2 separate regions of the Mus musculus genome follow, and region 1 is reported to be linked to region 2. The links are microRNA targets in miRTarBase. Many come from high-throughput screens and were not tested one by one. Region 2 holds a microRNA gene; the other region holds the end of a gene's coding sequence.

What was found. The annotated mature microRNA mmu-miR-15b-5p reads UAGCAGCACAUCAUGGUUUACA and lies in region 2 at 1,348-1,369, opposite strand. An mRNA with a match to its seed (bases 2 to 7 or 8) in the 3' UTR can be bound and repressed. Matches are read on the target gene's strand: a 7mer-m8 pairs with bases 2 to 8, a 7mer-A1 pairs with bases 2 to 7 and ends in A, and an 8mer does both.
Region 1: miRTarBase lists Bicd1 as a target of mmu-miR-15b-5p. The part of its 3' UTR that is shown has no 7-base or 8-base seed match.

What each region holds. Positions count from the first base shown.
Region 1 is chr6:149,549,977-149,554,384 of GRCm38, forward strand. Bicd1 (BICD cargo adaptor 1) reads left to right here. Exons shown (of 9, transcript NM_009753.4): 8 at 374-449. The coding sequence ends at 421. It overlaps Gm38931 (a long non-coding RNA gene), which reads right to left. Exons shown (of 3, transcript XR_869630.3): 1 at 4,387-4,408; 2 at 924-1,033. Among named protein-coding and RNA genes, the nearest start is that of Gm38931, 2.3 kb to the right of the region's middle.
Region 2 is chr3:69,006,736-69,011,143 of GRCm38, reverse strand. It overlaps Mir15b (microRNA 15b), which reads right to left and starts at 1,372; the gene lies at 1,309-1,372. It overlaps Smc4 (structural maintenance of chromosomes 4), which reads right to left. Exons shown (of 24, transcript NM_133786.4): 3 at 3,777-3,955; 4 at 3,024-3,215; 5 at 1,484-1,660. It overlaps Mir16-2 (microRNA 16-2), which reads right to left and starts at 1,242; the gene lies at 1,148-1,242.

The sequences.
Region 1 (4,408 bases), not on the chromosome of region 2:
TAATTAAATAATCAGCATTATGTTCAAGTTCAGGAGTTAGAATTTTTAATATTAATAGATTCTGATTTTAGAGTAATCAAAACACCAAATATGAATGGCCATAGGACATAATGTACTATTAAAATCTTGCTACTAATTTTATGTCATTAGTTTTTTTCTAAGACATTAATTAAAAATTCAGTCTTTTCTATTGGCATTAGTCAAGGAAAAAAACACACCCACAAAAGAAAAAAAAAAAACCACACTTAATCTAGATGTTTCTAAGTAAACGTTCCCGTTCCTCACTAAATCTCAGGCAGCTGATTTAGTTACTGTTGCTAACACCATTGTGTCATCTCTTTGTATACATGTCTAATTTATTAGTTTCTTGTAGATTGTCAGCAGCCTGCTGCCTCCGTACCGCCACAGTGCTCACAACTAGCTGGGAGGCAAGACTACCCAACGGTCAGGTAAATTCACAGGTCCTTCCTTCTCCCACCAGCTGCATGTCAGCTCCCCTTCCCAAGACCATAACTACCTATGCATCTTTATGTTATTGCATGTTTTTCATGAATTGGCTACATGACTTCACCCTTGTTCATATTTCCAATGAGCATGCACAGGAGTTAGTGCTATGTCATCAACCACTAGTTGATAGAATAGAGGCTGCTTCATTTCCCCTTTGTGAGAAAATACTTGAATTATTCCAGTGTTTCATTGCCTCCAATCTTAAACATGTAATTGTTAAGTTATTTGACCTACTTTTCTTTTACTTTTTTGTCCTTCAAATACAATTCTCAGGTAAACAAACAGGGAAAATATATGAAATTATATATAAAACTTATCTGATGTCCATTCTAGGACAGTTTTAATGGTTTCCATTTTCTGTTTACTCAGTCCCATTGTTAAAACTGAATTGAAAAGCCATTTGTGGTAGTACATACCTGTAATCTGAGCAGTTTGGAGGCTGTGGTAAGAGGTGGAGTTTGAATCAGAATGAGGTATATAGTGAGTTCAAGGCCAGCTTTTGATACAGAATAGCTGTCTTCAAAATCTATAAAAGAAAAAGAGGAAAGGAGGAAAATGGAGAGAAAAACTCAAATCTGAATTCCCAAAAGAATATTTGCAGTGATTATTTTCCCTTTATCTGAAATGAAGTGTTTTAAAGGCATGTTTAAAACTTCCTTGAGCCAGGCAGTGGTGGTGCATGCCATTAATCCCAGCACTTGGGAGGCAGAGGCAAGCAGATTTCTGAGTTCAAAGCCAGCCTGGTCTACAGAGTGAGTTCCAGGACAGCCAGAGCTATACAGAGAAACCCTGACTCAACAAAACAAAACAAAACAAAACAAAACAAAACAAAACAAACAGGAAAAAAAACTTCCTTGAGTTCCTAGGCACTGAGAGGAGAGTTTGCTGACAGTTCATATTTGATTTTTAAGCTGTCCAAAACAGTTTCTAGTTCCCTCCATCCTAAGTGACTACCCACGGCCTAGAATCATCCCATCAGAACTTTCTCATCTCCACAGTGTCTTTCATCCTCATTTACTTGGTTTCTGTTGGTACCAAGCCTCTGGAATCTGGATATGATCTTTAGAGTCTACTTACTAATATACATAAATGTATCTTTTGTTCTCCTACCAGAGGAGGGTTTGTATCAAGCAAGGATCAGCTCAAACATGATTCCATGTGTGTGTCTAAGATGAGTAGCTGTTATTTGCAGACTATATGTATTCTTGCCTTTGCTGGATAATCACCAATACAGAAACAATATATCCAAAGCTAGTATGTTATGTGGTCTATTGCCTAAGTAAGTAGAACACTGCCCCCAGTGTTGTAGACTGAACCTGTGCTCTCTCATATGTTAGGTCAAGGGGTCTACTACTGAGCTGCATTCCCAGCCCCCAAAGTACATTGATAAATAGTCACTAGACAGTGTCTTCTGATTAATGTCTCTTAGAAAGCTGATCAATACCACTTCAAGTAAGAGGATATTTATCTCAGAACTATTTTATTTATCTCAGAACTATTTTCTTTTTTTTTTATTTATTGACTTTATTTTTTATGTGTATTCTGTTTGTATATATTTATGTACACCACATGTATGCATGGTACTTGGGGAGGTCTGAAGAGGGCATTGGATCTCCTGGAAGCAGAGTTAGAATGGTTGTGAAGTACCATGTGGGTACTGAGAATTGAACCTAGGTCCTCTGCAAGAATAACATATACTCTTAATTACTGAACCATCTCCCCAGCCCCTCAGAAATGTTCTTTACTAATGTATTGATGGCATTTATAGTAGTAGCCAGTTCTGTATAATTTCAATTATATAAGTAACTGAATATTAGTATGAATGCTCAAGTTGATCTGAGAGGGATTTTATAGTATAGTATAGTGTTTGGAGACCCGGACACCTGTAGTCTAGATTCCACAAAGCAGCCTCCCTCAATTGGGGCACTAGGGTAGTGTCAATGCAGTACAGATGCTCCATGAATGCAGACTACATGTGTGAGTAAATGGGCTTTGGAGTCAGACTTCTACCTTGTAATTCTACCTCTTACATACCTACATGTGTAATCTTGGAAAATTGCTTCTGTTGGCAATGATGATGATGATTTATAAAGTAAGGAAGAAAATGGACATTGGAGGAATTCAATGATGAAGGGCCTGACATGTCTGCCCTGTCTGCTGTTAGCACTAACACTTTGTACATTGCCATCCCTGACCAAAATTTTGTTTATTTTGTGACAAATCTAGTTTTCTTGGACAGAGTTGTAATACTACTGCTTTAAGAATTTCCATGGGCTGGCGAGATGGCTCAGCGGATAAGAGCACTGACTGCTCTTTCAATGGTTCTGAGTTCAAATCCCAGCAACCACATGGTGGCTCACAACCATCTGTAATGAGATCTGACGCCCTCTTCTGGAATGTCTAAAGACAGCTACAGTGTACTTACATATAATAAATAAATAAATCTTTAAAAAAAAAAAAAAGAATTTCCATAAGGCAGTAGTGCAGATGTATTCCTTCTGTTCTGAGATTACTAAATTTAGGTGCTTCCTGTCTCCATGGGGGGTGATTTGTTGAAAGAAAAACAATTTAGAGAATTACAGACACCCTAGTTTCTATCCAAGTAGACATAGCATATCCAAAGCAGACTTTTCTTTCTTTTTATAGTTCACTCAAAGAAATTATTAATGCGTAGAGGTTTGAAAGGAGTCCTCTTCAGGGTGGCTTGGGTTCTGAATGGTTTCTGCTGTGAGAGGATCAGAGTCAGTTCTGCACTGCCCTCTTACTCCTTCTGGGCAAGAAGGGCAATATACAACCAACATTAGAACTCTTACTGGGTACCAGGCAAGGGTAAATTCTTCACATGTGTTAGTCATTGCGATTCCTGTATAAGCTAAACAGCTATTATACTTTTCTAAAGGAAGAAGTCTAGGTTTAGGCAGACAAAACAACTGTCAGGTGCCACATATTTTTTTAATACAATTGAGCCAAGTGACCTAACACCTATTCCCTGTCCATTGTAGAGCATGGCTGCACCTCAGATAAGGAACCAGTCATTGTACCTACAGTTGGTAAAAGAAAGCCTGTTTAAGTTATGCTGACTCAGTTTCTTTCAATTGAAAAGTGGATTCTCAGTGAAACATGAGAAAATTTTCTAGGAATGCTGAGTGAGTTCAGATCAGCTGAGTTTCTCATTTTGAAAAAAAAAGTTTACTTCCCTCCTGTTTATATGTATATATTTATGTAATTTTTGTAACTTTTTTTAGTACTACAGATCAAATTCAGGGCTATACATATGTAATCTACTCACATAACTTTTAAGGTGTATAATTTCTTAATAAACAGTGTTTTTACACTAAAAATGTAGAACTTTTCCACATATGGTTTTGTTTTTTGAAACATAGTCTTCCTATGTGGTTTAGGCTTATCATGAATTCCTTGAACTCTAGGCTTCAAGTGATCCTCCTGCCCCAACCATCCAAATAGCTTTAACTGTAGGTGTATGCCACCATATCAAACATTTATGTACTTTGTTTTTTAGCATTGATTAGAGTTTTTATTTGAATTATCATTCACAATCTATATAAGTAATATACAAGGCATGGAAAACACCACAAAATAATATCGAAATATAAGGTAAGAGCACAGTATGTCATTTCAATAAATATAATTCAAAATTTTTGTACTTTTTGCAGGCTGATTCTATTCTAAGTTATTTAAATCTTTATATATAATGATGTAATGGGAAATGATGTAACCTTGGACATAATATATTAAATATATAAATTAAATATATAAAAATGTTTACTATCTATCACATCTGCACATCTGCTAAGTTGTGTTTACCAGGAAGAAGACCAAAAATAAATAAATAAATAAATAAGCATTTTGAAGATTTACCAAGCTTCCTGAAGATATGTCC
Region 2 (4,408 bases):
CAAAAACTTTACAAGATCTAAAATATAGTCTATTTTGTACTGGCATAAAACTGATCTCAGAATAAAATAAAGCACACAGCAAAGAATAAACCAAAGATTAGTATAATTCCCTACAAAACTGTTACCACCATTAAATTTAAGATTATAAAGAAATACAACTTTTTATCCAATTAATTAAGCCAAATTCCTGAAAAAATGGAAATCTATAAACAGTACAATTCATTTAAAAAACAAAGCAAAATACCTACAGTGGCATAAGATTACAGCTATATAAATCCAAATCTTATTTACACATATATCTGCAACTGATTCTTTTCAATATTTACTTTTAAGTAACACTGGTTCACTAAATTATTGTAAATGCACTGTTCTGATATTTAAGGGGTATTCTAGAAAATTATCATTTGTCTTTTATACTGTGTATGCCTCAAATAATAATAATGCCTTAAGAATATAATGTGAAATTTGTGAAAAGTATGTTAGTGGAACACTTAGTTACACAACAGAACATTTTAAATCACATTGAAACTCCCAACTTATTTTCAAAATCAGTAGCACAAGATGTACTGTACAAGGCACAGCTGCTCTGCATAACAATCTCTCTTTTTACATTTTATTTATGCTCTTAGTAGACTGGGATAGTATTTTAAAAAAAGCCTTTAAATCAAAACAGCAATTTCATAGTCCCTAACAAGGCTGTATTTAAAAAAAAAAAAAAGTAGGAAAGACAAAATTTTCCTTCTGTTACACTATCAGAATATACTTTTACTTCCATAATCACACCAAAAGTGGAAAAATAAACAAACAAGCAAGCAAAAAGCAAGAAACAAATAAAATACAAGGTCTAATAATAAAAAAAAAATACCAGGAACCTAGTGTTTATATTTCTAAGAACTGATACTAACAGTATTGGTTTAAGAAATTAGGTCCTCATAAACAAATTAAATTCACCCAGAGTAAACCTTTATGCAAGTATAATGTTAAAAATATTACATTAGGTACCCAGGAAAACTTGTTGTGATATCAAGTATATGGTTTTTATATTATTTTATATTTAAATATCAATAAACAAAAGGGACAGATTATCAAAAGATTTTTATCTAAACTGTTATCTTAAAGGGAAATAACAAACAGAAATGAGTTGCTATATCCCTGTCACACTAAAGCAGCACAATAATATTGGTGTTTAATATTTATTTCACTACGCCAATATTTACGTGCTGCTAGAGTGGAACAAGCATGTCAGATATCCAAACATAATACAACTGTGATGGTACCATATAATCTTGAATGAATTTCCTTAAATTTCTAGAGCAGCAAATAATGATTCGCATCTTGACTGTAGTATGTAAACCATGATGTGCTGCTACAGTACTTTAAGGTTCCAAAAGACAGGACTCAGCAAACAGAAGAACACTCTTTCAAGCTTTAGTACAAGCCAAAAATCAAAAACCAAGAACCTTGGAAGAATTTTTAAACGTACCTGCAAGATTAAAAATCGATTATGGTCTAAGTCAATGCCATGGCTTCTAAGGAGATTTCCAACATCTTTAAACGTCTTCTTCTTCCCACTTATGTGGTAGACAGAAGTGCTATCTCTGTAGGCGGTTCTGGATACATAGAAGTTGCTGTTAGGAAGGACTTCGTAATCATCTCCTTCCTGTTTTTAGGAAAAACAGAACCCGAAAACTGTTGGTATTAAATCACAGGTTTAATCCAGATTTCATTTACTTTATACTGATACTAATTCAACAGATTAAATATTTTTCTTGTATTCTTTAACAGATTCAGATGTATATAACGAATTTTAATCCTTTTCACCTATTGCTTGTTTTATTTCCCCTGAATTATGTATGGCCATAGGCTGACAACCATTTTAAAGTGAGATAAAAAATAAATTGCTTTACAAAGGACTAGATACTTCTCCAAGTTGTTTGGTTTATTTCTCAAAAATCTCTAAAAGTTTAAACCAAGCAAACACAAATTTCAGCCTATTCAAAATATATCTGAATGAGAGCCAAGGAAGGCGAACAAGACCTCAGCATATCTACAACAACCCACTCCACTCAGATAACCTTGGTGACTGTTAAAAAGCTTCAAGAAGAAACAATTTAAGGAAAATATTTAGGGGAAATACTTTTCTGGTAGTGGTAGGGTCTGCGAGTAAAGATTGTGTATGATTGTGTGTGTGTGTGTGTGTGTTTGTGTGTGTAGGGAGACAGGATTCCCTTTCCTAAACAGCATTTCCTATCATTAATTAGAAGTAAACCATCATAAAAATTTGCAATCATATACATAATAAAGGAAATCAAGTTATAAGTCCATCTTAGCATTAAAGTTCATTTATTCTTAAAAGGCTCCGTGTCATATTTAATTTTGGATTAATTAAACAACAGGTACTAGACTATCATGACTTATTGGCAATCTAATTCTCTAACTCAAATGTGCAACAGAATGAATTCAGAAGCAAAATTCTGATAGATGCTTCTGTGTAGTTAAATTTCTTTATATGTAAAACATCCCCACCAGCATCCAATTATCTGTTACTTTACTATGGGCACTTATTTTTTAAGGTTCTTTTCCGTTGCTTTTTGAACCATGAATTTTTCTAAGCTATTAAACAGATGCCTGTCCCCTACCATTTCAAAACATACTTCATCACGGTAGTTCAAACCTTAGAAAATTTCATCTCTCTCTCTCTCTCTCTCACATAGCTACTAATTATTACATTTTAGAGTCAATTATTGCATTTTAAAAATTAAAATGTTTATCCTAAAGCAAAAAAATGTACAACTTTTCAAATGAAGCCCATATTTATAGTGAGTGAATGCTGAATTAGCACTTAGGGCCCCTACATCACTGTATTCTTCCAAAAAGCTGAAGTAAATATGTTCACAGAAGCAAAATCCATTTCTTATTGCTCTAATTATACACAAAGTAAAATAAAGAACAATTCAGATCTACAATAACAAAATGTGGCATGTTTCCTTTTCTTGCTTGAAGGTGCAAGTAGAAAATCTTACCTTATCAATTATCTTTTGAAAATGAACTTCTACAGTACAACTCTGAATATCCTTGTGTTCATCAGAATTATGTATCAGTACCGATAGCTTTTTAGACCTTATTTTTTGTGCTCGATAGCCAAACACAAAAAGCATGGAATCAATAACATTGGATTTTCCACTGCCATTTGGTCCAATAATACAGGAAAAGCGCTGCATAAAAGTAAATTTTTAAAAATTTAAATAGTCACACTTAATACTAATTTTAAACTACTCCATAATTTAATTTGTAATAAAAATCAAAGGTATCATTAAAAGTTTTCATTAGAAGATAAACACTTTTTCTTTCTTTCTCTTTAGAAATAAAAGCAGTTTATTAAGAAAAGGAAAGCACCCTAGGAATGGAGTGGGCCAGGGAACTGAAGGAAAACACAATCTGAGTTTTCTTACATCATGTTCTTCAATAGCACAAGCTTCACCATTTAAATAAAAACCACCTTCAAATTCTAATCCCGACATTTTACAAAACTCATTAGCACAGTCAACGGGGAAAACATTCCCTTCTAACAAAAACAGATTCCATTCAATATGCAAATATTGCTAAAGATATACCAAAGACATCAGATAAAGAAAAACTCATTCCTGTTGTTGAAGTCACAGGCAACATACTGTCTGTGCGTCTATGAGCATATGTGTGTAAAGAGTCAGGACCGTTAGAACACTGAAATATCTTGTAATTAAAGATGTATTCCACGTTATCTGAGCAGGCAGTACCTTATGGAAAGGTCCCAGAACTTTCTCTCCAGCATAGGACTTGAAGTTTTGGTTTACAATATGAGTTATCATGAGACGAGGAGCTCCAGCTTCACTGGCCATGGCTGGAGGTGGGGGTGGAGGGATACTATTCAAAATCTCCTCTAAACTTCTGTTATCCAGCTCCTCACCTGGAGGCTCTAGGTTAAGGGAGAGGCAAAGAGGGGAAAGCCTACATTAGTGTAATTAGTTGAACGTCTATCATCTGCTAGTATTTAAAGAACACAATGGAGGGATGTTACTTAAAGAAACCTAGGAATTTATCTTCCATACAAACATATCCTAAACTCATGGGGATGGATAATCCTTCAGATTAGTTTTATGTAAAATAAAATTCGTGAAAGCAATCAGACCAGTCACAAAATGTGTGGTATACACATTGTACTTAGAGGAGTCAAAATACTCAATATACCATAAAGAAAACCTTGCAACAAACGGATTCCCTGATGCAGGAGATGCAACCCTAACAATCGAAAATCCAACTCTCCACATGGCTCAGCTTAAGAAACTCACAAACTTCAGTAACATGGTGACAGGAATTTCACAGTAGCTCTTAATTTCTACCCTCCGCCTGCTCTACGCTCTCAATTATA